Pelodiscus sinensis: one gene and its partner. The protein of the gene in region 2 purifies or fractionates together with the protein of the main gene of each other region. This does not show direct contact. Links are inferred from orthologs where the notes say so. Each region holds a gene or a part of one and is shown on either strand. Other genes may lie near its edges.

The links.
Region 1: the proteins of calpain-2 catalytic subunit (region 2) and AFG2B purify together in Homo sapiens (co-immunoprecipitation; 3 studies listed by BioGRID and IntAct, with this or other methods). This does not show direct contact. The link is inferred for Pelodiscus sinensis from reciprocal best matches to the Homo sapiens genes CAPN2 and AFG2B.

What each region holds. Positions count from the first base shown.
Region 1 is NC_134724.1:21,259,427-21,271,731, forward strand, and holds the start of AFG2B (ATPase family gene 2 protein homolog B), read right to left. Parts: upstream 5,024-12,305; 5' UTR 4,537-5,023; coding exon 3,460-4,536; intron 434-3,459; coding exon 248-433; intron 1-247. UniProt on the Homo sapiens protein: ATP-dependent chaperone part of the 55LCC heterohexameric ATPase complex which is chromatin-associated and promotes replisome proteostasis to maintain replication fork progression and genome stability.
Region 2 is NC_134713.1:155,230,011-155,242,518, reverse strand, and holds the start of calpain-2 catalytic subunit, read right to left. Parts: upstream 6,055-12,508; 5' UTR 5,926-6,054; coding exon 5,689-5,925; intron 1-5,688. UniProt on the Homo sapiens protein: Calcium-regulated non-lysosomal thiol-protease which catalyzes limited proteolysis of substrates involved in cytoskeletal remodeling and signal transduction. Proteolytically cleaves MYOC at 'Arg-226'.

The DNA of each region.
Region 1 (12,305 bases), on a different chromosome or scaffold from region 2:
TGTTCCCAGCCTTGTACAACACTAAATAGCTTATGGAGAGAATACAGATATTCTACATTGACTTTTCACTCAACTTAAGGCATGGCTTGAAAGACTATAGGAAAGCTTATAATTACATCTATAATGCTTGCTTGCTTGTTTTGAATATTCTCACGTACCTAATTTATCATCATATATATTAAAATAGAGTGGGGAAAAGTGATAAATATAAATAATGATATCTTTCTGGTTTAAACTGACTCCTTACCAAACAGCTGCGCAGGACAGCTTGCATAGCAGCTTCTCTGCAGAGTGCTGTAAGATCAGCTCCAACATATCCAGTTGTCATTTCTGCTAGGTTAATCAAATCAACATCAGTGGAAATAGGCATATTAGAAGTAATCAGCTGTAGAATAGATCTTCTCTGTTTAAGTGTTGGCGTTCCAATGATAATCTAAAACAAATACCATAAATGGAAATTTATCAGTGTTTTGCTATTCCTCTCTCATCTCTGCAGACCTAGACAAGTCACTTATATTGTTCGTATCTTGGACTCCCTTGCATCAATTCTCCTCCTTTTACACTGTTTGACAAGGGACTAATTAATAGCTCTATAATCCTTTGAAGATATAATGAACTGTATCAGTACTTTTCATTTACACATACATTTTAATTTGAACAAATGCATGTTTTATAAAGAATGCCACTTAGTGTTTAAAGATTAATCAATGGGAGATTTAATAGTGAAATAATAATTTCTTTGGAACATAAGAACACAGGAGGCTAGTGACAACATACTTTTCTATTTTAAAAAACTGTACAGGCCACAAGTCAAATAGAAAAAAACCCCATGGAGAATGATTACTTTAAACTCTGTAATACATGGACCAAAGAAAACATGACTGTACAAAAATGTAATTCAGTAGCACAAAAAAGGACCAATAGGTGTATATGAATAAAATAAAAATGCGTAGAGAATGTGCATAAATTACTGAAAATCTGCTAAAATTTAACCAAAATTGTGTATTTCATTAAATGCTGCAAAATCCTTAAAATTTAGATAAGCGTGAATGTAGTTCAGCATAATTTATCTAATTTGAAGGATCTGGGATAACGCTTGTGAATGACACATTTTAGGCCATCATCCTGGAACAGACCCTTGCATCGAGATTGTTGCAGGTTCAAAGTTTTAGAGAGTGCATGGATAAACAATAAAGGAAACAAGGATGCATCATTTTGCTAAATGTATTTTTTGTCAATTTATTTTGACAACTGTAAGTTAGCATTTGATGTTTGAGATAAGACACAATCAAAGATGGTATATTTTGTAAAAATAATGAAGCGAGTACCTTAACTAAAATGGGGCTCTGGCTATAGAACTCTGCTATTAAATCGTTCATAAAAGTGACAAGTGTCAATTGTGTGTGCGAATTAGTATGATTCTATCTGTTCTTAGATTTTAGAACTACCTCTATTAGACATGAATATCATCAATTTATGCACAATCCAAAAAGTCCCTACAACCATGGTATCCAACACGCTAGCCACATGTGGCTATTTGGCCAGTGAGTGTGGCCAGTTCGGTATAGCTATAGACACTATACTGGCTGCTGCTTCAGAACTGGTTGGAGACCATAGCCCTAACAATGTACTACTTTTCATTTTTAGATGTAGTTTTAGTGCTTGTGAATGGTGCCCCACTGAAATAATTTGATTTTGTCTATCTTAATACATTATTGATAATACAGTCTGCTATTTCTACCAGCAGCTCAGCTCATTTTTTAGGCCAGGCCTATCCTCGAAAAATTTTGCTGGTGTAACTCCAAGCATAGATACACCTTATATTGGCCATTAATTGCATTTGAAGTAAAATTTATACCTGTTCAACAACCAAAATGATGAATACCAGCAAAAGTACTTTTATGCTGCATATCTGCATATCCAGTAGATTATGATCAATCAGTCTAACATCTTGTGTAACACAAACTTCTTACAGGACTTCCCTGAACCAATTCATATTTGAACTGAAGCAGCTCATTTGGACCAATCTTGTTCAAAACATTTTCTGTGATAGGAAGGGACATGGTGGATTTTCCTAACTTGTGCCAATGGTTACTTACCCTCACTGTTAAAAATGTATGCAGCATTTCCATTTGAAAGTCAGTTTCCAAACACCCTTGTCTACTAGACTGAAGATTTTGTTTGCCATGTAGAAACTTGTGTATGGAAATCACTCCTTAGCCTGCTCTTTGTTAAGCTAAATAGATTGAATTTTTGGACTGTATCACTGTAAGGAAGGGTGGAGAATCTATAGCCCACGAGTGGCTCCATCCCCCAGCTTAATTTCATCTTGCCAGTGACAAGTCTCTGAACTGCAGGCCAGAAGCCCAGGCCCCTCCTGCAGGGCTGGAGCATGGAGTCACCCATTTAAGCAAGAGGTGTTTTTTTTCTTTTCTACCTTGACAGCAGGTGACCAGTGAGGGGTTTGTTTGTTTGTTTGTTTTTTGGCTTTTCACTTGGGAGCAGGCAAGTAGTGAGGTTTTGGGTTTTTTTGCTTTTGTGGCTCCCCCAATTGATTTTTTTTTGTGGGTAAGTGGTCCCAGACAGAAAAAAAGATTCCCTGTCCTATTCTAACACATTTTTCAAATTCTTTAATCATTCTGTCAGCTCTTTTCTGAACCACTTCCAAATTATTAACACCTTTCTTGAATTGTGGACACTAAAACTTCAGTATTCCACCAGTAGTTGCAAGAGTGCCAAATATAGAAATAAATTCCCTATTAACTCAGTATTCCTGTTTATACAATGAAGTATGGCATTAATGCTTTTGGCCAGTGTCACACTAGACACCTCTGTTCAGCTGATTATTAACCATAGCCCCTAAGTCTTTTTCAGCCACTGCTTCCCAAGATAGAATCCCTCCCCCTATAAATATGGCCCATGTTCTTTATTCCTATTTTTTGTTTGGGTACATTAATAAAAACACACATTGCTTGTGCATCTTACCTGTGACCTAGAGCAATTATTTATTCTCCCAAACAGTGTGTCTGCTGCAGACTATATCAGTGATTGTGAACCCCTAACCCTTCCATTTATAGGTTTCATAATGTAATTGTCAGTTAGCCCATTTAATGTGCAACAATTCTGAATCATTCCAGTTTTTAATCAACATAGTATGGTTCAGTTAATGCCCTACATTAGTGTAAGTACAGATTTAATACATGTGCTTTTTAATCAACAATGTAAAAACCAAGAAGGGGAAAAAACCCTACAAGCCTAACTATAAAGTAGCAAAAAGGTAACTTTTCCTTCTCCTTTGTGGGTCACTGATCTAACCATAAGACATAGGGCATCAAATCTGATCACCGAATGTGACATTGCAGAACACCATCACTAGGCCCTGAATTGATTTTTCAATAGAAAAATGACAAATGGTATTGAAGTGTCAGAAACTAATCAAGAAGAACAGACTTTTCTCACCTCTTGGTCAAATCTACCATGTCTCCTCAGTGCAGAATCTAAGGCATCGGGCCTGTTTGTTGCTGCCATAACAACCATCTCATTTTCACTGCCTATGCCATCCATAAGTGTTAACAATTGAGCAACAATGCGATTTTCAGGGATGCTGTTCGAACTTCCCCGTTTAGGGCACAAAGAGTCAATTTCATCAATAAAGAGAATGGTTGGTCCTTCGCAGGACAATTCCCTGCCTTGTTCAAAAACTCTTCGCAAATTTTCTTCACTTTCTCCAGGCCTTGAGCCATATATAGCTGGACCACTGATGCAAAGTAAATATGCTCCCACTTCCCTTGCAACTGCCTTTACAAGAAGAGTCTTCCCCACACCTGGAGGGCCCACCAACAGTACTCCACTAAGGACAGAGATACCCAACTTCTTGAAGGTTTTGGGGAAATGGAAAGGCAAAACAATTCTCTCCTTCAAAGAGCTGCCCAAATCATCCATTCCTGCAACTGAAATTTTTGTGGTATCATTTGACAAGTGTCTGTACCATTCTAAAGTGACCACTTCTTTAACATTTATATTAGTTTTGGGGGTTATCAGGCCAGCTTGTTCTGTAAATGGATCTACAGACAGTATTTCAACACACACCACTGGATTTCCAGGAATTGGGGCAGCAGTAACAACATGGTGAAGAGAAACATACACATTTCTCAGCAGCTCTTTCACTATCTCCTGCAGTGTTGCTTGTGGGGTGGCCTTTTTCAAGGCAAGATTCCTAAGTACCACTTTCACTATTACTTTTCTCAGCGGGTGACAGGCCAAAAGCTTCAAGTGGCTGACACTCAGTGTGAGACTTTTCAACTTGCTTGCAGTTAAACCTGAAGTTCTGCATTTCAGATCTAGCTGCAGGTAGCCATCAGTCACATCATGCCTGGGCCAAGCAGTGCACAAACAGCAGCCACCAGGAACCGTGATCTTGACTGGGGCCCCGAGCCTGGCTCCCAGAGAGGACAGAGTGGCGGGTCCCATCCTGCATCTCTGCGTGCCTTCGTCTCCCGGATCCAAGGGGAGCAGCTGTAGGCGAGCAGCCGCCATAGCCGGTATTACTGCGGGTGATGGCAAAGCACATGCAAAGGGAGCCCCTGGCAAGCGCAGAGGGCCGGGTTCGCCCACGTCACATACAGGGGAACCCCCAGACAAGCACTGGCAGCTCGCTGCCCCCCCACCGACCCTTCCCCGCGCCTTACAACCCCGGGAGGGAGGGAGGGATGCCCCCCTCCGTTACAGAAGCGCTGGGTGGCTTCTCGAGTACCCCAGAGACCCGGGCACGGGGCAGGAGCTAGGTCCGGGGCAGCCGGAGACGAGCGGCTGAGCAGGTTTCTCGCAGCGAGGAGACGCTGCCGGCGCGCGGTCCCGCCAGCGGGGACCAAGCAGGCGCTCCCCGCCTCAGTAGAAAGCGTCCTTCCTTCCGCCCGGCTACTGAGCATGCGTACTGTCAGCCGAGCCTACGTCACCGTCTCCTGCTCGGCCACGCCCTCGAGCTAGGAGGGAGGAATGCGTGAGGGGCCGTTCATCGTTCCCGCCGTCTGGGCTCCCTCAGTTACTGCTGAGTTAAGGCTGTTAACGGAAGGTCTCTTTCCCTTTCGCTCTCCTATTGGCCAGCGAGGGACCTTCTCCCCGCCCCCAACACGAGCTCTCCCCCCCTAGCACGCTTGTGCTGGTCCGCCCCCTTGCCGTGAGAGACTCCGCCCAGGGGCTGCCTGTCTCCCAGCCCCGCCGACCCACTTCCCTCCAGGCCTCGTCTCCAGCCGCCGCTATGGGCGGTCTCCCGTGCGTAAAGAGCGGAGGTGAAAGTAAGCGGGCGTGCCCTCTGCAGAATTGCCTGAGCTGCGGCAGAAGCCAGCGGGGAGCTAGTTAAAGAGCTGGCAGGGACCCCCACTGCAATGCCTGTAAGAAATGTTAAGTTATTTTCACCACTGCCAAAGAAAACCCTGTGCTGGGTGAGAATCGCCTCCTGTGCCTCCGTCCCCTTCCAATAGTCTCTAGGGCTAGAACAGGCTTGTAGCCCTTAGGGGGGCCACGTTGTGTCTCAATCGTACCCCCTTGGGTTAAACCTCACTCCCTGCCAGTGCCCATCAGTCTGTCCTTCTGCACCGTGGACGGTGGGCAGGGTATGCTCAAGCTCTGTTTCTGGGGTAGAGCAGCAGTTAAAACTCCTGCTTCAGGGAAGTGGGAAGCCAGAAGGATGTCATCCAGTTCCTTGGTAGGGGAAAATAGCATGCATGTCATAATCAGTTCAGCAATTAATAATGCGAAGCACGTGGAATGTGTATCAAAGAGAAGAATACATTCCTGACTAGGAAATAACTGTTTAGTTAGGGAATGAATTGATTCTCTAGCTTTGTGCCCTACCAATTATTCATTTTTATTCAGAGGTCTTATGAACACGTATCCGAGCTTGGTAAAATGGCCTACTCTGAGAGTTTAGGTAGAATGTAGCCGCATTAGGTCGAACTTCTGACCAAGGGTGGCGAACCTTTTTTAGGTCCCGGGCCGCTGACCCACAGAAAAATCACTTTGCACACAAGTGAAAAGAAAAAAATATCCAAACCCCCCACAGATGTGGTCCTTAACTGAGAAGGAGAAAGACACTTCCCACATTTCCTTCACACGCCAGAGTCTGGGGGAAGCCCAGACTAGTAGATTTTGTGTGTTCCAGCCCCTTGTGGGGCGATGGGTTCCCCAAAGCTGGGATGGAGCCCTGAGCATCAGAGGCCCGATCCATGCAAACTGGGGGCTATATCCAGCCCACAGGCCTGATGTTCCTCACGCCTGTTCTAAACAATGAGTCTACACCACCAAGCCAGTTCAATCGACTTTAGGGGTTTTCAAAGGCAATTTTAGTATTCCTACTTTTCATGAGGAGTAATGGTAAATTAGACCTTCAATAGTCAACTTTACAGTAATACAAACAAAGTGCTGTGGAAGTCAAAGTTATTAGCTTCTGGGAGGTATGCCACAGTGCTCCGCAATGACTGATCCGGCCACTTCCAACTCTACTGCTCTCCAGGTGAACAGAAAAGGCCCTGGGAAAATTTGAATTTCACTTCCTGTGTGGCCAGCGCAAGCAGACCACAGAGTAAGCAGTATACATGACCATGAGTTTTCAGGGTCACAGATGCACACCAGCATGGAGCATGCAAGAAATCCTGGACCTCATTCCTAGCTGGAGAGAGAAACTTGTTTTTGCAGAATTATGAACCAGCACAAGGAATGCAGAAATCTATGCCAAGATTGCAAATGGCATGGAGGAGAAAGGATACGACAGGCATGCTCAGCAGTGCTGCATACAAATAAGGCGCTGAGGTGGTTGTACTAGAAGACAAGGAGGCAAATGGACAGTCTGGATCATTGCCACAAACATGCTGCTTCTATGAGCAGCAGCATGTGATCCTAGGGGAGATCCTACCAGCTTCATCCAGTCCATGGATTCCTCCCAAGACACTGGTAGCCACAGGTAGCAGTTTGGCGAACAATGTGGATGAGGAAGAGGAGGTGGAGGAGAATGTTCCAGCATGTGAGCAGGGTAACTGATGTCACCAATACCTAGGTCTTTGGAGTTAATCGCTGCCTCCCAGGACATCTTACAGCCAGGCACTGATCCTGGAGAGGGCACTTCTGGTGAGTTCACATTTTTCATCATGCTACAAGTGGGTTAAAGCATTTGGGTGTGATCTGTGCCACCTAATTTGCCCACACAGTGGTGGATTCCCTAGAACAACTTGTTAACGTGACTGGAAATGCAGTGGGAATCCTCCCTGAACATCTCCAGGAAGCTCTCATAGAGGAACTCTTTAATCTTTCCCACAAGTTTTCCAGGGAGGCAAGCCTTATTCCATCCTCCATGGTAGGACACCTTTCCATGCCAAGCCAGCAGTAAGTGGCCTGGCATTATTGCATCACAAAGCATTGCAGACTAAGGTCCAGGTTTCTGGCCACAATCAGTCAGCATCTGCTCCCTATCACTCTGTGAGATATTTGAATACTGATATTTTGCATGGCAATCTGAATAAACCAGAAAAGCTATTAGCCAATATCTCTGAAGTAAACCTCTGTTTGCTCAGGCATGAGCCCCTGTCTTTCCCTGCTTCCATGCCCTCTTACCTCCTGCCTTCATGGTCCCATAGGAAGGAAAGTTGCAGTTTCCTGGCAAATGGGGTGCCAAACACCTGGGCACCGTGTGAGCTTCTGCCCTACCACTATGCCTGGACCTCTTTCCCCCACCTGCCCGTATGTTCCCGTGGATAGGGAAGTTGAACTTTCCTGGCAAACGGGGTGCCAAAGACACAGGCCCCGCCACCACCCTCAGACTTTCTCCTTCCCACAGTCTCAAGCTTTGGCCTGCTGCCAAACTGAGTCTAGCTGCTTCCCTAAGAACTCGGTGGTGTACCTGCTGCATGGTGGCTGCTTAAAAGCATAACTGTGGCCTTGTACATAATATAGAATCATAGAATACTAGGACTGGAAGGGACCTCGAGAGGTCATCAAGTCCAGTCCCCTGCCCTCATGGCAGGACCAAATACTGTCTAGACCAGGGGTCTCCAAACTTTTCAGCCCGAGGGCCGCATTAACTATCAAACAGCAGTTCGGGGGCCGACTACACACTTGAGGTCCAAATAAAAAACAATCAAAACATGGATATTGTTTTTAATTATTTATTTAATATTATTTTATTCAGTTATTATTTAATAACACATTGATACACTACACATGAACACCTGTATTAGTGTGAATGGTGAAATTGTTTCCTGGATGCCAAAATAGCAGACATTTCTGGCTTTAGATTTGTTGTCCCTAACATCAACAGTGACCTGAGATTATCATCGGACAAGTTTGTTCTCAAATTGTTCTTCACATATTTCATTCTTGAAAATGTTTGTTCACACAGGTATGTTGTTCCAAAGATTGAAAGGTACCTTGATGCAAAAGTTTTGACATTAGGAAAGTCTTCCTTGGGCAAAAACTGGTAAAAACCCACTAGTCCTATTTTGAACTTGTCCCTAAGGAGGTCATTTGCTTGCAACTCAATGACTTCCAGCTGCAGTTCATCTGGGCAACTGGCCACATCTGCTTCAAATGGGTTTTGAAACAATCTCACTTCTTCTGCCTTTGAATCCAAGTCAGAAAACCGCTGCTGAAACTGCAGCTGGAGGTCTTTGATGATCTCGCATGCAAATGACGTGGGGAACTCAGCTGTTGCTTCAGCCATGAAGACCTTGCACTGCTGAAAGTGCGTCAAGTTGTTGGCCTGTACTTGTTCCAAAAACAAGACAAGTTTGGATCTGAAGGCCTTTAGGTGGGTGTATAGATCAGAAACTAGATTTTGCTCTCCTTGTAGTTTTAGGTTCAGAAAATTTAAATGACTAGTTATGTCTGCAGCAAAAGCCAATTTCCATACCCACTCTTCATCAGACAGTAATGGCTGTGGCTTGCCTTTACTTTCCAGGAAGTCACCTATTTCCTTTCTTAACTTAAATACTCTGCTCAGAACTTTCTCACAACTTAGCCATCTTACTGCTGTGTAATATGGTAAATCTTGCGATTCTGTGTCTGTATCTTCCAACATGTCTCTGAACTGTCTATGGTTGAGCCCATGTGACCTTATTAAATTCACCATCTTCACCACAGGATTCAGTACACTGCTAATGTCCACATATTTAGCACACAAAGCTTGCTGGTGAATAATACAGTGCAGGAACATTGGTTGTATAATGTTTTTGTCATTACACATCTGCTTCACTTGTCCAACCAAGCCTTTCTTTATGCCACTCATGTTCTTTCCTCCATCAACAGTCAGGCAACTGAGGTTAGTCCAGTCCGAGTTATAATCAGCAAATGTTTTTTTCAACTCATTGAATATATCCTCTCCGGTAACAGTGCCATACATGCTATGTAGGGAAGCCAGCTCTTGTGTTATGTTCATGTCTTCATCCACACCTCTAATGAACACAAGCAGTTGAGAGGTGGAGCAGCTGTCCAGCGATTCATCCATTGCAATTGAAAAATGGCAAAACTTGCTTGCATTTTTCGCTATTTGAGTCACAATGTTTTCACCCATGTCTGCAACACGGCGGGCAATGGTATTCGCACCCAAAGCTACATTTTCAAATTGTTTTGACTTTTCTGGGCAAAGTTCCTCAGCCACTTCCAACAAACATTCCTTCACTACTTCACCATCTGTAAAGGGTTTGCCACTTTTAGCCAGGACGTAGGCAACTTTATAACTGGCCTTAGTTAAGGATTCATTTTCATTTGAGGATTTACTGAACAATGTCCTCTGAGATGTGAGTTGATTTTGTAATTTAGAAAATTTTTCGGCACGGACTTTACCCTTCAACTGTACATATTTCTCCTGATGTTTGCTTTGATGATGATGGCGCAGGTTGTATTCTTTCATCACAGCCACGGTTTCATTGCAAATCACACACAATGTTTCTCGCCGGATTTGATGAAGAAGTATTTCAAACTCCATTCTTCTTGAAATTGCCGACACTCATCGTCTATTTTTCTTTTCCTCTTCTCGGCCATCGCTGGGCACTAAAATAAAGTGAATTCAACATGAATAAATAATGAAACTGAAAGTATCTTGCACACAATATCGCTCAAAAAACCTGATTATGCGAACTAATTTTGTCGCAATAATAGCTGCAAATGACCCGAAACAATTTTTAAAAATTCTTATGATTTCTTAAGTTAAACTTACCTGAATATAGTGTGCAAATATATCCACTTATGGTAGAGAGATTGTTGCTTTTAATGTTTCCTCTTCAGAATATTCGCCTGCGAATCCGTTTCTCCCGGAAGGGGGGGGGCTTTTCCCCCTGCTCTCCCCTTCCTCTGCACGCTGTCCTCCCCTCCTGCTTGCCACCGCTCACTCCTTCCCCCCCCCCGGGCGGAAGGGGTCACCTTTTTAAAGTTCCCGCCGGGGTTCACGTTCCCCCGCACGTCGCCGGGCGGGCGTTACCACCACCGCCCATCCTGCCCCCTGATTGGCCGGCTGCCCTGTCAGTCTGGGCGGGGGAACGCCGCCCGTGCTAACCCCCGCCCCCTGCGCCGTTTGCCGCCGCGCGGCCGCTTGTCAGCGGAGCGGCCCGCTTCTCCTGCCCCTGCGCGGCGTGAGTACACGCCGCACACCCCTGACAGGGCCCCCCCCCCCGCGGCAAGAAGGGCCCGTTCGGCGGCACCCCAGGGACGGGCGGGGGTCGCCTCGTCACACCGGCACGCGGAAGAAGGCGGGGCCAGACAAAAAGGTCTCCACGGGCCGGATGAGAGGGCCTCGCGGGCCGCATCCGGCCCGCGGGCCGTAGTTTGGAGACCCCTGGTCTAGACCATCCCTGATAGACATTTATCTAACCTATTCTTAAATATATATCCCTAATGTTGTTCCTTTTTTTGCTAATAGATTAGGTTTTATGCTCCACAATTTATCTTCTGTAAAGTCTGCTCTTCACTTTTCGTTACATTGGGAACAGCAGTGAGCATGCTGCACACTCTCCTGGCTCTGCTAGCTGTTGGGCTGGCACAGATGTCAGGCATAAATGGAGTGGGAATGACATGTTCAAGGAGCAAATGCTGTCCTCGCACTTGGACAGGGAATGTTTAAGCAAGTGGAGTAGAATGCTGTTGCTGGAGATGACAGCGGAGTATGAAAACAGGAGAGTGTGCAGGAAATTGGAAGAGAAGATCTAGGAGAAAGTCTTGAAGACCATTGTGGAAGTGATGAATTGTATGACAGCTTTCCACGGCAGCTTCATGCACCGGCACCCCTTCTAGGCCTTGAAGAACCACATTCCTTCCTCACCAAGGTCCCAGGAGCAGGAGTCAAAAGTATCCTCACACTCATCCTGATCAGAAGTCTATCCTCATAATTGTGACCCCCTCCAAAGCTCCCAGCATGAGCTCTTTTTCTGTCTCTGCTGTGTTCCCTAAATCATAGACTCTTAGAATACCATAACTGGAAGGGACCTCGAGAGGTCATCAAGTCCAGTCCCCTGCCCTCACAGCAGGACCAAACACAATCTAGATCATCCCTGACAGATGTCTAGCTAACCTGCTCTTAAATGTCTCCAATGATGGAGGTTCCACAACTGCCCTAAGTAATTTAATCCACTGATTAACGTCCCTGACAATTAGGAAGTTTTTCCTAATGTCCAACCTAATATTCACTTGCTGCAATTTAAGCCCATTGCTTCTTGTCCTATCATCAGAGATCAAGGAGAACAATTTTTCTCCTCCTCCTTGTTACACCTTTTTAGGTACTTGAAGACTGCTATATCTCCTCTCAGTCTTTGTTCCAAACTAAACAAACCTAATTCTTTCAGTCTTCCCTCACAGGTCATGTTTTCTAGACCTTTAATTATTTTTGTTGTTCTTCTCTGGACTTCTTCCAAATTCTCCACATCTTTCTTGTACTGTACACAATACTCCAAAGAAGGCCTAATCAGCACAGAGTAGAGCAGAAGAATGACTTCTCATGTCTTGCTCCCAACACTCAATGCATCCCAGAACGATTGCTTTTTTACAACAGTGTCACACTGTTGACTCATATTTAGTTTGTGGTCCACTATGACCCTACATCTCTTTCTGCAGTACTCCTTTCTAGACAGTCACTTCCCATTCTTTATATGTGCAATTGTTCTTTCCTAAGTGGAGTACTTTGCATTTGTCCTTATTAAATTTCACCCTATTTACCTCAGCACATTTCTCTAGTTTGTCCAGATCATTTTGAATTATGTCCCTCTCCTTCAAAGCACTTGCAACCCCTTCCAGCTTGGTATCATCTGCAAACTTTATAAGCATAATCT
Region 2 (12,508 bases):
TAAAGGACCCAAGGCTCTAGCCACCACTGTTGCTGCAGTAGCAGTGGCTGGGAGCCCTGGGCCCGTTTGAATTGCCAGGCCCAGGGGCAACTGCTCCTTTTCCCCTCCCCCTCCATCAGTGGGCCTGAGTGGAGGTCTACTCACCCTTGTTCCAGATGGAACTTTTACCTGTAACAACTGTTTGAGTGTAATATGGACACTTGAAGCAGCACAGCCTTTGGGGTAAAGAGTTGGTTTATAAACAGAGGTAGTGTGATTAGGGTAACAAAAGGCCTGCCACTGAAGTGCTTTAAGGATCCTTAGGATGATCCTGAAAGCAATTGCAGACAGTCCAGTTAAAAGATAAGAAACAAAAGTAGAAATAAATAGTGAAAATAGAATGAGTTAAATAGTGGTGTGACCTGGGCTCTGTACTGGGAGCAGTGCTGTTCAATATATTCATAAATGAAAATGAGCTAGAAAAAGGGATATGCAGAAAGGTGGCAAAGTTTGCAGGTGATAAAAAATTACTCAAAATAGTTAAGTCCAAAGCTGACAGCAAAGAGCTGCAAAGGGATCTCACAAAACTGGGTGACCAGGCAACACAGTAATGAATGAAATTCCACATGGATAAATGCAAAGTAATGCACATGGCAAAATGTAATCCTGATTATCCATACAAAATGATGGGTGGAGGTGAGGAGAGGGGGTGTCTAAATTAACTGAACCCAACATTAAAGAGATATTGGAGTCATTGTGGTTCTCTGAAAAATATCTGCTCAATCAAAAAAAGCTATCAGAATGTTGGAATTAATTACGAAAGGGATAGCTAATAAGCCTGATATCACCTCTCTATAAATCCATGGTATGTCTACATTTGAATACTGTGTGAAGATCTGGTCACCTCATCTCAAAAAGGAAATATTGGATTTGGAAAAGGTACAGAGACAGGTAAATTATTAGGGGCATAGAACACCTTCTGTATGACTAAAGATTAAAAAACCTGGAACTTTTCAGCTTGGAAAAGAGGTGACAAGAGGAAAGGGGGAGAATACGATAGGTGGTCTATAAAAATCAAGAGTTACATGGAAAAATTGAATGAGGCTTTACTCCTTCATATAACACAAGCTTCAGAGTCATCCAAGGAAATTAATAGGCAGCAGATTTAAAAATCAAGCAAAAGAAATTATTTCTTCACAGTCAACCTGTGGAACTGTTTGCCAGGGGATGTTGTGAAGCCCAAAACTATACCAAGGTTCCAATAAGAATTACCGTAAAATCGCGAGTATAATGCACACCTATCTTTTAAACGTCAGAATTCTAGAATAAACTGAACTCTTATCTATAATGTGCACCCCCATTATACTCGCGATTTTACGGTATATATAGGAAGGAAGGGGCTTGCGCCTGCCACGGGGCCCCCTGTCCAGCTGAGCTCACGCCTGCCATGGGAGCCCCCTGCTTAGCTCCCCATGCTGAGACCAGGCAGGGAGCGAACCAGGGCTATGCAGCCTAGCAGCGCCACCGGCTCCTTGCTTCACCTGCTGTGGGGTCCCCCTGCCCAGCTGAGCTCATGCCGCGCTGCGCTCACACCTGCCGCGGGGTCCCCCTGCCCAGCTGAGCTCGCATCGCGCTGAGCTTGTGTCTGCTGCGGGGGTCCCCTGGCACAGCCTGAAGGACCACCGGGAAGGCAGTGAGCCAGGGCGCTGCAGCTGGCTCCTTGCCTTGTCTGGAATCCTGGCAGGGCTGTGGCCCCCGCGCCACACTGCAGCAGGAAAGTTTCTGTGTGGAGGGGAGCGAGAGTTAAAACTTTAAAAAAAATAGCTCTTATGTATAATGCGCACCCTGGCTTTGACCCTAAAAAACTGGAAAAAAGTGTGCATCATACTCGAGATTTTACGGTAGATACATTCTTGGAGGACAGGTCCACCAATTGGTAGAACAAGTAGGGATCCAACACCACACTCTGCACGTTCCTAGCCTTTGTTTGCCAGTAGAGGAGAATGGACAACTGGGAATGATTCACTTGATGATTACCTATTGTCCATTCCCTCTAAAACACTTAGCACTGGCCACCTTCTAAAGACAGGACACTGGGCTAGATGGAACTTTGGTCTGACTCAGTATGGCCATTCTTATAAAGAACCCAGCTGTACATACATCTGCTGTAAACCACTAGAAACCACTCCCTTCCCAGAGCAGATATAGAACCCAGGAATCCTGACAGGAGCTCGAGCTCTCTCTCGGCACAGTTAGTAACAAAGTAAATACACATTAAAATATTAAACCGAACCAATATCCCTTAAGTGACTTCCACAAGATATCAGAAAATGTTATTATTAGAGCTGACTGGGTCTAATATTTAATTTTCTCTTTTATAATAGGAACTTGTATATGTACCTGGTGTTGCTTGGGTCCTTAAGGGTAGTAGGTTTGGTTTTCTTTTTTTAAATTAAAAAGAAAATGTACATGCTTTATTTATTTAAATGATTGTTCAGAACAGGGGGCTGGGAGGCATGTGGGTGCTCAGGCAGGGGGCTGGGAGGTGTGGGGGGGCAGGCATGCAGGGGTTCAGGGACTGAGGGCAGGGAGTGGGAGTGCTGGGTTAAAGGAAGAGCCTTGGAGGTGTGGGGGATGGAGGGCTCAGAGCAGGAGGTTCTGGAATGAAAGCAGGGGGCTGGCAGGTGTTAGGGGCTCAGGGCAGATGGTGATGGAGTGAGGGCAGAGTGAGGGTTCAGTATGGGGAGGCTCAGAGCAGGAAGTGGGGGTGCAGAAGTCAGGGTAGGGGCTTGGGGAATCTGAAGTTGGGTCAGGGGGTGCACTCTCTGGATGGTGGCTCCTCCTGGGGGGCCAAAACTGGAGGGCCAGCTTTAGCCTCCAGATTGTGCAAGGGGCATGGGCCTAGTGCTCCGGTGGCTGGCACTGGCCTCCAGCTGCCTCCTCCATCCTGCAGTTGGTCCAAGGAGGGTGAGGCTTTGGGGGCTGGCCCCAATCTCCAGCTTCTCCCCCCCCCCCAACCTGCAACTGGTCAGGGAAGGCAGGGTTCTGGAGGCCAGCCTGGCATCCAGTGCCCCTCCAACTTGCAACATTTCTGGGGATGGGCCGCGTTCTCAGGTTTGGTCCCTGATGGGCGCAGAGACAGCAGGGCTGGTGTGCATAGATGCCCCTCCCTTGGTAGCACTGTTTGGGGGCAGGGGGCATTTATGTGCTCTGGTGGCCAGTCATATGGCCCAGGTGGCCACTCCGCTGCCTCCCCATTCACTCTGCATTATAGCTCTCTCCTGTGCTTGCTGCCCACAGTGCTCACTTTAAATAAAAGTCTCCTATAATCAGCCCCCTCCCTTTCCATGTCATGGAAAACAGTCCCATTCCAGGCACGTCACATTTCCCTGGGGCAAACAAACCCAGAACTTCCTTTAAGCTATGACAAAAGGAAGCCACATATCAAATTTGGTGGTCCTAGGTCTTACTGTTTAGGAAGAGTTCTTGAATGAACAGGGGTCGGTCGGTCTCTCCCTATATATATATATATATATATATATATATATATATATATATATATATACACACACACACACACACACACACACACACACACACACACACACAGAGAGAGATAAAAAGATACAGTGCTCCTGTCAGCAAATTGCAAGCTATCTGCCAAAAATTAAATGTTTTGAAGTGCCTTAGTATCCCCTGAAATCGCAGTTAAAGTTGCCACCTCCTCCAAATCTGAAGTGGCACCACTGTCCAGAGTGGTTCCTGAGTAAACAGAGGCCTTTGCGGCCAGCCCCTTCATAGGAAAGCATATTGATTGGGCTTTAGTTGTTTGGCTCTTAGCCCTGAAGGATTTTTCCATTTGTTCTTGGAGCAGTTTCAATGCTCTTTTGGGGCCATTTTCAGCCAAATTCCTCCATAATGTAGCTCCTACTACACCAAGGATGAATGTGGCCCTTTGCAAAAGGTGCAAAATTCTGAGTATTTTGACCAACTTTATTCCTCTGTACCCCTGCAAAAGGTAGGCAATAAACAAAGTGATAAGGGATGCTGCACAGCTGGTAGGAAAATATAACCTCCCTGTATCAATCAGGGTAGAAAGAAGGGGATCTAGAAAGTCTAGGGGGAAGGGTGCAAATAGGGAAACTGAAGCAAGAAAGACTCTCTCAGTGACTGGTAAAACGAAGAACGGAGCAAGCAACATTAGTTGGCTGAAAAGAAGGAAAAAGAATAGATGGTAATGGAGATACAGTCCTTGCAATACCTCTCAAACTTGACAAGTATATTTCACCAGAGACCTGTGTAGCTGTAGAGGGGAGTGGATCTGAGGGTGGGGACAGTGTAGGAGCTGGGACATGAATTCATACCTGTTTACACCTGTTCAATATGAACAAACCATGCTGAATTAGTTATGTATTTTGGGAATGCAAACAAATGAGTTAACTCACAGCAGAGAACAGCCTCCTGGCACTATTACATATTTAAAAAAAGCTGTTTTCAACTGACCACATTGTGGGAGGGCAATAGAATGTGAATGAGGATTATTGAGTCTTGCCCTTCATCGAGTTTTGCACGGAAAACCAGTCATTGCCTGGGTGGCTTCAAATACTGACTCCTGTCTTTAAAGTAAACACAGTTACTGTGTTGAACTCAAGATGAGCCAAGAGCAAGGTATCTGGAATAAACATTAAATAGCTGCAGGAGGAAGATCAGGACCCAAGTTTTTATCAACATAGCTCCCCTGACTTCTGTGGGGACACTCCTGCCCTACAGCAATATAAATAAGAGGTCCTTGAAGTGAATCTGTGAAATTCAGAGACTTAACCTTCATGTTTATTAATAAGCATCAGCACTGCAAGCCCAGACATTTCCATAGTTTCCATAAACTTTTTAGCTACTTTTCTAGCCCAGAGAAGTTTAAATAAATCCAAACAGAATTAGCACTTTTTTAACTTTCCCATTACACATCGCTGAGCCATTAGTGCATCTGCACTCTTAGGTCCTGGCCGAGGGACTGCCCCATGCATCTCAGAGGTGCCTCCCTTGGTCCTTTAGCAGGCTGCTCCTATTGAGTAGGAGTCAGTAAGGTGCATTCTTCGGGGGGGGGGGGGGGGGGGGAGGTTTTCAGGCAACAGACAAGCTTTCGCTGCTCTGTGTGCTGAGCTTGGGAAAAGTACGTTCTTCCTCCTCGACTTCGCAGCCTGGGGCTCTGTAATTCATGCAACTTCCCCCTCTCCGGTTAAGAGCAGCATTTTTGCTATAACCTAGTCCGGTGTCATTTCATCTCTTGCAGCCGGCTCAAGACAAAAGTAGAGCCTTCTGCTACCGATCCCCAGCCACGTTGGGGTGGTCCCAGCCCAGAGGCTAGGTTTGGCTCGTTAGTAAAGAGAAGGCCCGAATGCAAAACGCAAAGCAGGTGTCCCTCCCCCACAACCCACACACACCTGGCTCCTAAGATTCAGGGGTCAGGGGTTACGATGAGGAGGCTGGGCTCCTCTGCAGCTGTCGTTGTGCACGGAAAAGTCCAGCTGTTATTTATAGGCATCTCCCTGCCACCAACATTCCCCCTTGGTATGGGGGAGGGGGGACAGGAGCCCCCCCATCACCGCAGCCTTCCCACCAGCCAAACACGCTCAGCTCTGCTCTGCCCTTCACACCAATCCCCTGCTTCTCTGTCCCTCCTCCCTCACCCCCGGCCGGTCGCGCCCCTACCGTTGGTCTCTTCCACGTGATGCCCTGAGTTTTGTACGAGGTGGGCCCCAGCTCCTGGTAGCCCAGGGAAGAGGGGACGGCGGGGAAGGCGGGGTCCTGGAAGAGCGCGCCAGCCTGCAGGCACTCGTCCCGCAGCGCCTCGAAGTCCTGGCTGAGGTATTTAAACGCCTTCGCGTTGGAGCCCAAGCCCCGGGCTGTTTCCCGCTCCTTCGCCAACTTCGCTGCCATCCCTGACATGGTCGCCTCTGCCGCGGCGAGCGCGCTGCCCCTGCTCGGCGGGGACGTGGGGAACCTGAAGTAAACAGCAGCCAGACCGGCTGGTGAATCATCCGTGGGGGAACTGCTGCAAAAATTGGGTGTGGCTCGTGCTTAAAGCTGCAGCCTCCTCCTAGTGTCCGTAGGGCAGAGATGCACAGGGCGAGCTGCAGCACCACCCGCACCCCCACATCTTGCCTGTTTTCTAAGGTGGGATCCTCCTGGCTGGGATGTGCCTGGCCACTACCTAGTCCCCCCTCAAGCAAGTGTCCTTTACACTTGTCCGTTGTAGTGAACAGCCTCCTCACCCTATCAGAAGTCGGCAAAACCTGGTCAAAACCTACTTTGAAGTAGGAATAAGAGCCTCCGGAAAAGGGCGCTTTTTCCGGAGGATCGGGGCCAGTCTAGACGCTCTTTTCCGGCTTTTTTAAAAGCCGGAAAAAAGCGGCGGACATTTTTATTTAAATGCCGCGGGGGATATTTAAATCCCCCGCGGATTTCCCTACGACGACTAGTGAAATTTACATGCCCCTTCCGGAAAAGGGGCCAGTGTAGACGTAGCCCAGGGCTATATCTAGACTGGCATGATTTTCCGCAAATGTTTTTAACGGAAGAGTTTTTCCGTTAAAAGCATTTGCGGAAAAGAGTGTCTAGATTGGCACGGACGCTTTTCCGCAAAAGCACTTTTTGCGGAAAAGCATCCGTGCCAATCTAGACGCGGTTTTGTGCAAGAAAGCCCTGATCGCCATTTTCGCGATTGGGGCTTTTTTGTGCAAAACAATACCGTGTTGTCTACACTGGCCCTCTTGCACAAAAGCATTTACGCAAGAAGGCTTTTGCCCGAACGGGAGCAGCATAGTATTTCCACAAGAACACTGACAATCTTACATGAGATCATCAGTGTTCTTGCGGAAATTCAAGTGGACAGTGTAGACAGCTGGCAAGTTTTTCCGTAAAAGCAGCTGCTTTTGCGGAAAAACTTGCCAATCTAAACGCAGCCCAGGAGTCAAAATCCTATCTGGGCTATCACTTTGTCTTGGTGTCTGGCCTGGGTTATCAACAGGAATAAAACTCACACCCTGGCCTCTATCACTTAAACTAAAGGGGACACATGTACCACCTGTCCTGACTATAAAGCTTGTATTTATTTCATTTCCTCTTTAGCTCCTCCATTCCAAAAGTGGCTGTGCTGTGTTTGAAAGTGATGGAAACTGTGCTGCTTATGTTTTGTCACATGCTTTGGGAGCCTCTGGAATTTAAGGGGATTATTGTCACCTTTCCTGTTAACACATTACATTTTGAGGGGTTCCTTAAATCTTGAAACATTTGCTATTGATGCTGTACAAAATACCCAGGAAAAGGAGCAAACTTAACATTAGGGTTATGTCTATACTGCAGGCTTCTTGCAGAAGAACTGTTTTGTGCAAAAGTTCTTGCACAAGAGTGCGTCCACAGTGGTCAAAGCGCATCACAATAGCAAAGCGCTTTTGCACAAGAGAGCGACCACATTGGTGGGACGCTCTTGGGCAAAGACCTCCCTCCCGGAACCACTTCAGACAGGGCAAAAGGGCACCGGGACCTTCTGGGGGCGGAGGCTGGAGCTCCTCTGAGACATGTGCTTAAAGCAATCTCCCTGGACAGCTGTTTCTCTGCTGCTGCATGCTTTGGGACTCCTGGTAGGGATTGAAAGCTGTAGCAGTTCCTGTTGTGGTTGCCCTCTTCCTCTTTGGACACCACAGCTTGTGCGCTAGTGCTTTTGGGGACTTTTGCCTTCTTGCTGTGCCATGGAGCCAGGGATGGCCCTGTGCCTGCTCTGGCCCCACACTGTCATTTTGGAGTGCCTGCAGCTGCTGCTCTATGCTGCCTCACTACTCCTGCACAAGCTCAATGCCGAGCTCACTCTGGACTCCCTCTCCCTGGATGTGGCGGCTTCACTGTGGCATCCCTTCCGCACTGTGGAGAGGCGATACTGGAGACTCGACACCAGTTCCGACTGGTGGGACCGGCTGGTCCTGGAGCAATGTGATGACTAGCAGTGACTCCACAACTTCAGGATGCGGAAGTAGATGTTCCTGGAATTGTGTGGCTGGCTCACCTCTGCGCTCCTCATAGGCAACACCCTGCTGCGGCCCACCATCCCTATGAACAAGAGGGTCGCCATCGTCATGTGGAAGCTCGTCACCCCAGACAGCTACCACTCAGCGGCACACCAGTTCGGGGTGGGCAGGTCCACAGTGGGTGCCGTCTTGATGCAGGTAAGGCCCTCGGGGGGGCTGCAGTCCCTGCCCAGGGGAAGGGAAGACTCCAGGCTGTGGGAGCCTGGGAGGGTATGGGGGAAGCCCTGTCACCCCCAGGGGCTTGTGCCGTTCCTCCCTCACATAGGCCTGTCTGGTGTGTGTGGATGAGGCTCCGGGGCAAGGGGGCCCTAGCGTGTTTGGTGGGGAGAGGGCATCACAGGAGGGCAGGCACCCCCCCAAGGGCTTATACACCCACCCTGCCCCATTCTTGTGTGTTCCCTGTGTGCCCTTCTGCAGGGTGTCTGAGCCATCAATGACATCCTCCTCAAGAGGGTCATCCGCCTGCGGGACGTGGACGCAACCATGACTGGCTTCACTGCCCTGGAGTTCTCAAACTGCGGGGAAGCCATGAATGGGCTTCCCATCCGGGCACTGGAGCATTGAGCAGCCCACTTCATCAATCGGAAGGGGTACTTTTCAATGGTGCTCCAGGCCCTTGTGGACCATCGTGCCCACTTCATGGACATCTATGTGGGGTGGTTGGGTAGGGTACATGATGCCTGCATCCTCCGAAACTCTAGCCTATTTTGCAGGATGGAAGCGGGCACTTTCTTCCCCCAGCAGGAATTGACGGTTGGGGACGTCCACATGCCACTGTGCATTGTGGGGGACACGGCCTACCCTCTCATGCTGTGGCTGATGCAGCCATACACTGGACACATGGACCCTTGCCAGGAAACATTCAACCAATACCTGAACCGGGCCCGCAACCAAGTGGGGTGCACCTTCAGACTGCTGGGTGGGCAGTGGGAGGGGACTCCCAATTGGGAGGGGGAGGAGGATGGGACTCTCAACTGGGAGGGGAGTTCTTGCTGGGAGGGGCAGCTCTTGCCAGTGCCTCTGCGGGTACAAAGGCTTCGGCGTCCTTCAGGCCGGGTTGGGGCAGGCATCACAGGGAAGTAGGCAGGATGGGTGCCAGGCCATGCCAGAGTGCACAGCATGGCTGATGTGCGACATGAGGGTGGAGATGGTGTCACACATGAGATCGCAGTGTTGGAGGAACTGGCCCAACGCCTGCTGCCACCAGAGGCGTAGCAAAGGGAGGGCATGGGGGGAATTGCCCCTGGGCGCCACGCTAGGGGGGCACTGGGCAGGGCAGGGAAGGGGGAAAACTAGGGGGAAGGGCCGGGAGAGGAAGGGGCTTGTGCGGAAGGGGAGGTGGATGGGGTGGGAGAGGAAGGGGCTTGTGCGGAGGGGGAGGGAGAGGAAGGGGCTTGTGCGCAGGGGGAAGGGGACGGAAAGAGGAAGGGGTGGGAGAATAAGAGGCTTGTGTGGAGGGGGAGGAGCTGGGAGAGGAAGGCACCAAGGGACAGCCTGGAGGAGAGACAAATGCCAGGGGGCCAAGTGGAGACAAATAGGAAAAGGGCAGGAGAGGAGGTGCCAGTGGGAGGGGGGACAGGGTGATGCTGGGAGAGGAGAGGGTAAGGGCATTGGGGGCCGGAGGGGGAGGTGCTGGGAGAAGGCTTAAAAGAAGGGGTGGGCATGTGAAAGGTGGGGATGGAGCAAGGCATCTGTGAGGGCACAGAGGGGCATGAGGGCAATGGGGGCAGAGAGTGGTGAGGGGGTGGGCATCAGGGAAAAAGAGGGCAAAGGAGGCAGGGGCAATGAGGAAAGGGGGAGGCACCAGGAGGATGCAGGGCTAAGGGAAAGTGCAGGTGCCAGGGGATTCTGGGGGTGAAGCAGAAGGGCAGACACCTGCAGGGGAGGGACCAGCACCAGAGCAGAGAAGCAGGGCAGGTGTGTAGAGGGAGGTGTTAGGAGAGGGAATGAGGAGCGGTAGCTCACATGATCAGAGTGGGGCTACTGGAGGAGTGGGCACAGGGGGGAGTGAAGGGCTGGTGGAGGGGGGCAGGTCACAGGAGGGCGGAGGGCAGTGAGAAGAGCAGGAGTCAGGACAGCAGAGGAGGGTGAGGAGCTGAGGGGCAGCAGGCACCAGGGGAGCTGATGGAGCAAGGGGAGGAGACATGGCAGCAGAGAGAAAAAGTAAAGGTTTATAAAATATTTATTAATAACTTGGGTTCCACAATGGCACATCCAAACAAGCCCCATGAACTCAGTACTGGTGCACAACACAAAATTCATTCTGCTCATGGGAAGATGCAGTACAAGTTCCCCTCAGCTGTGCACCAGGTTCAAGGCTGTGTCACATGGCGGCAGGGGGGAAGGGGTGCAAATTTTTCCTTTGCCCCCAGGTGCATAACACCCTCACTACGCCTCTGGCTGCCACCACTCCATGTCAGCCCGCAGCTTGCTGCTAACCGTGTCCCCCATCCGCTCCACAGCCTGGATGTGACACGGGAGGAGCAGATCGCACTGCCTGGCTTGCCGGACTGGTGCCTGGGTCGTTGGTGCCACCACCGCAGGGCTGGAGGATCCCTCGCTCCCCGCTGGTTCCGCTGCAGAGAACGCAGAAAACAGAGAGGCAGTCAGTCATCCCTGCCCACAGTGTCCCTGAGCCCCAGGCCCCCTTCCATGAGCCTCACGTTACACCACACCACAAGCCCATCGGTTCCCTGTGTGTGTGTTCACACAGATTAGCTCAAAATCCTGGGGGAGTGAAGTGATCCTCCATGGATTGTAACCCTTGGGAGACATCACTGTGAATTGAGACCTTTGTCTGTGTCCTAGCCACTTGGCATGCTGTATCCGTCTGCCTGCACTGTGTACACTCCCCCCCCCCCCCCAAGGTAAAGCACATGGCTTCTACTCTTGTCACTGTCTGTGAGCATACACTGTTGATACTGAGGTGGCAAAGTTTGCAGATGATACTAAACTGCTCATGGTAGTTAAGACCAAAGCAGACTGTGAAGAACTTCAAAGATCTCACCAAACTAAATGACTGGGCAACAAAGTGGCAAATGAAATGTAATGTGGATAAATGTAAAGTAATGCACATTGGGGAAAAATAACCCCATATACATATAATATGATGGGGGCTAATTTAGCTACAACTAATCAGGAAAGAGATCTTGGAGTCATCGTGGCTAGTTCTCTGAAGACATCCATGCAGTGTGCAGCGGCAGTCAAAAAAGCAAACAATGTTAGGAATCATTAAAAAAGGGACAGAAAATAAGATGGAGAATATCTTATTGCCCTTATATAAATCCATGGTATGCCCACATCTGGAATACTGTGTACAGATGTGGTCTCCTCATCTCAAGAAAGACATACTGGCATTAGGAAAGGTTCAGAGAAGGGCAACTAAAATGATTAGGGGTTTGAAATGGGTCCCATATGAGGAGATATTAAAGAGACTGGGACTTTTCAGCTTGGAAAAGAGGAGACTAAGGGGGGATATGATAGAGGTATTTACATCATGAGAGGTGTGGAGAAAGTGAATAAGGAAAAGTTCTTTACTTGTTCCATAATATAAGAACTAGGGGCCACCAAATGAAATTAATAGGCAGCAGGTTTAAAACAAATAAAAGGAAGTTCTTCTTCACGCAGCACATAGTCAATCTGTGGAACCCCTTGCCTAAGGAGGCTGTGAAGGCTAGGACTATAACAGGGTTTAAAAGAGAACTAGATAAATTCATGGAGGTTAAGTCCATAAATGGCTATTAGTCAGTATGGGTAAGGAATGGTGCCCTCAGCCTCTGTTTGTCAGAGGGTGGAGATGGATGGCAGGAGAGAGATCGCTTGATCGTTACCTGTTCGATTCACTCCCTCTGAACACCTGGTATTAGCCACTATCTGCAGACAGGGTACTGGGCTGGATGGACCTTTGGTCTGACCCAGTATGGCCATTCTTGTGTTCTGTAGTCATGTTTGCATACACATCCTCACATTGCATGGGAGCAAGTGTGGCAGACAACGTCTGGGTTCTCGGACTACTGTCATTGATTTCTTCAGAAATACAGCCAGGGCTACTGAGGAGTGTACTGCCCCTGCATCAAGACTCAGTGGCCCAGACACCTGGGCTGCTCGCTTCCCTGCTTCCCCTTCCCCCCAGCCCTCGTACAGGTATCCCAGGGAAGTGTGTGGCCACAGTGGGGGGTTTCCTTTCAGGGGGGGGCAGCAGAGGGGCAGGGAGCAGCCTGGGGGCTCTGTGGGGGCCGTGCTCACAGGGTTGGTTTGCTGTGCTTTTCAGAGGAGCTGAGCAGCTGCTGTGTCACACGGGCAGGCATGGCCATCAGCATGGGATGTTGAACCCAGCTGTCCTACAGTTTAGTACAGTGTCTTCACCCCAGTCCAGCCTTCCACACAATTAGGCTAAGTCTACACTCACGGCTTCTTGTGCGAGAAATATGCAAATGAGGCTACGTGTG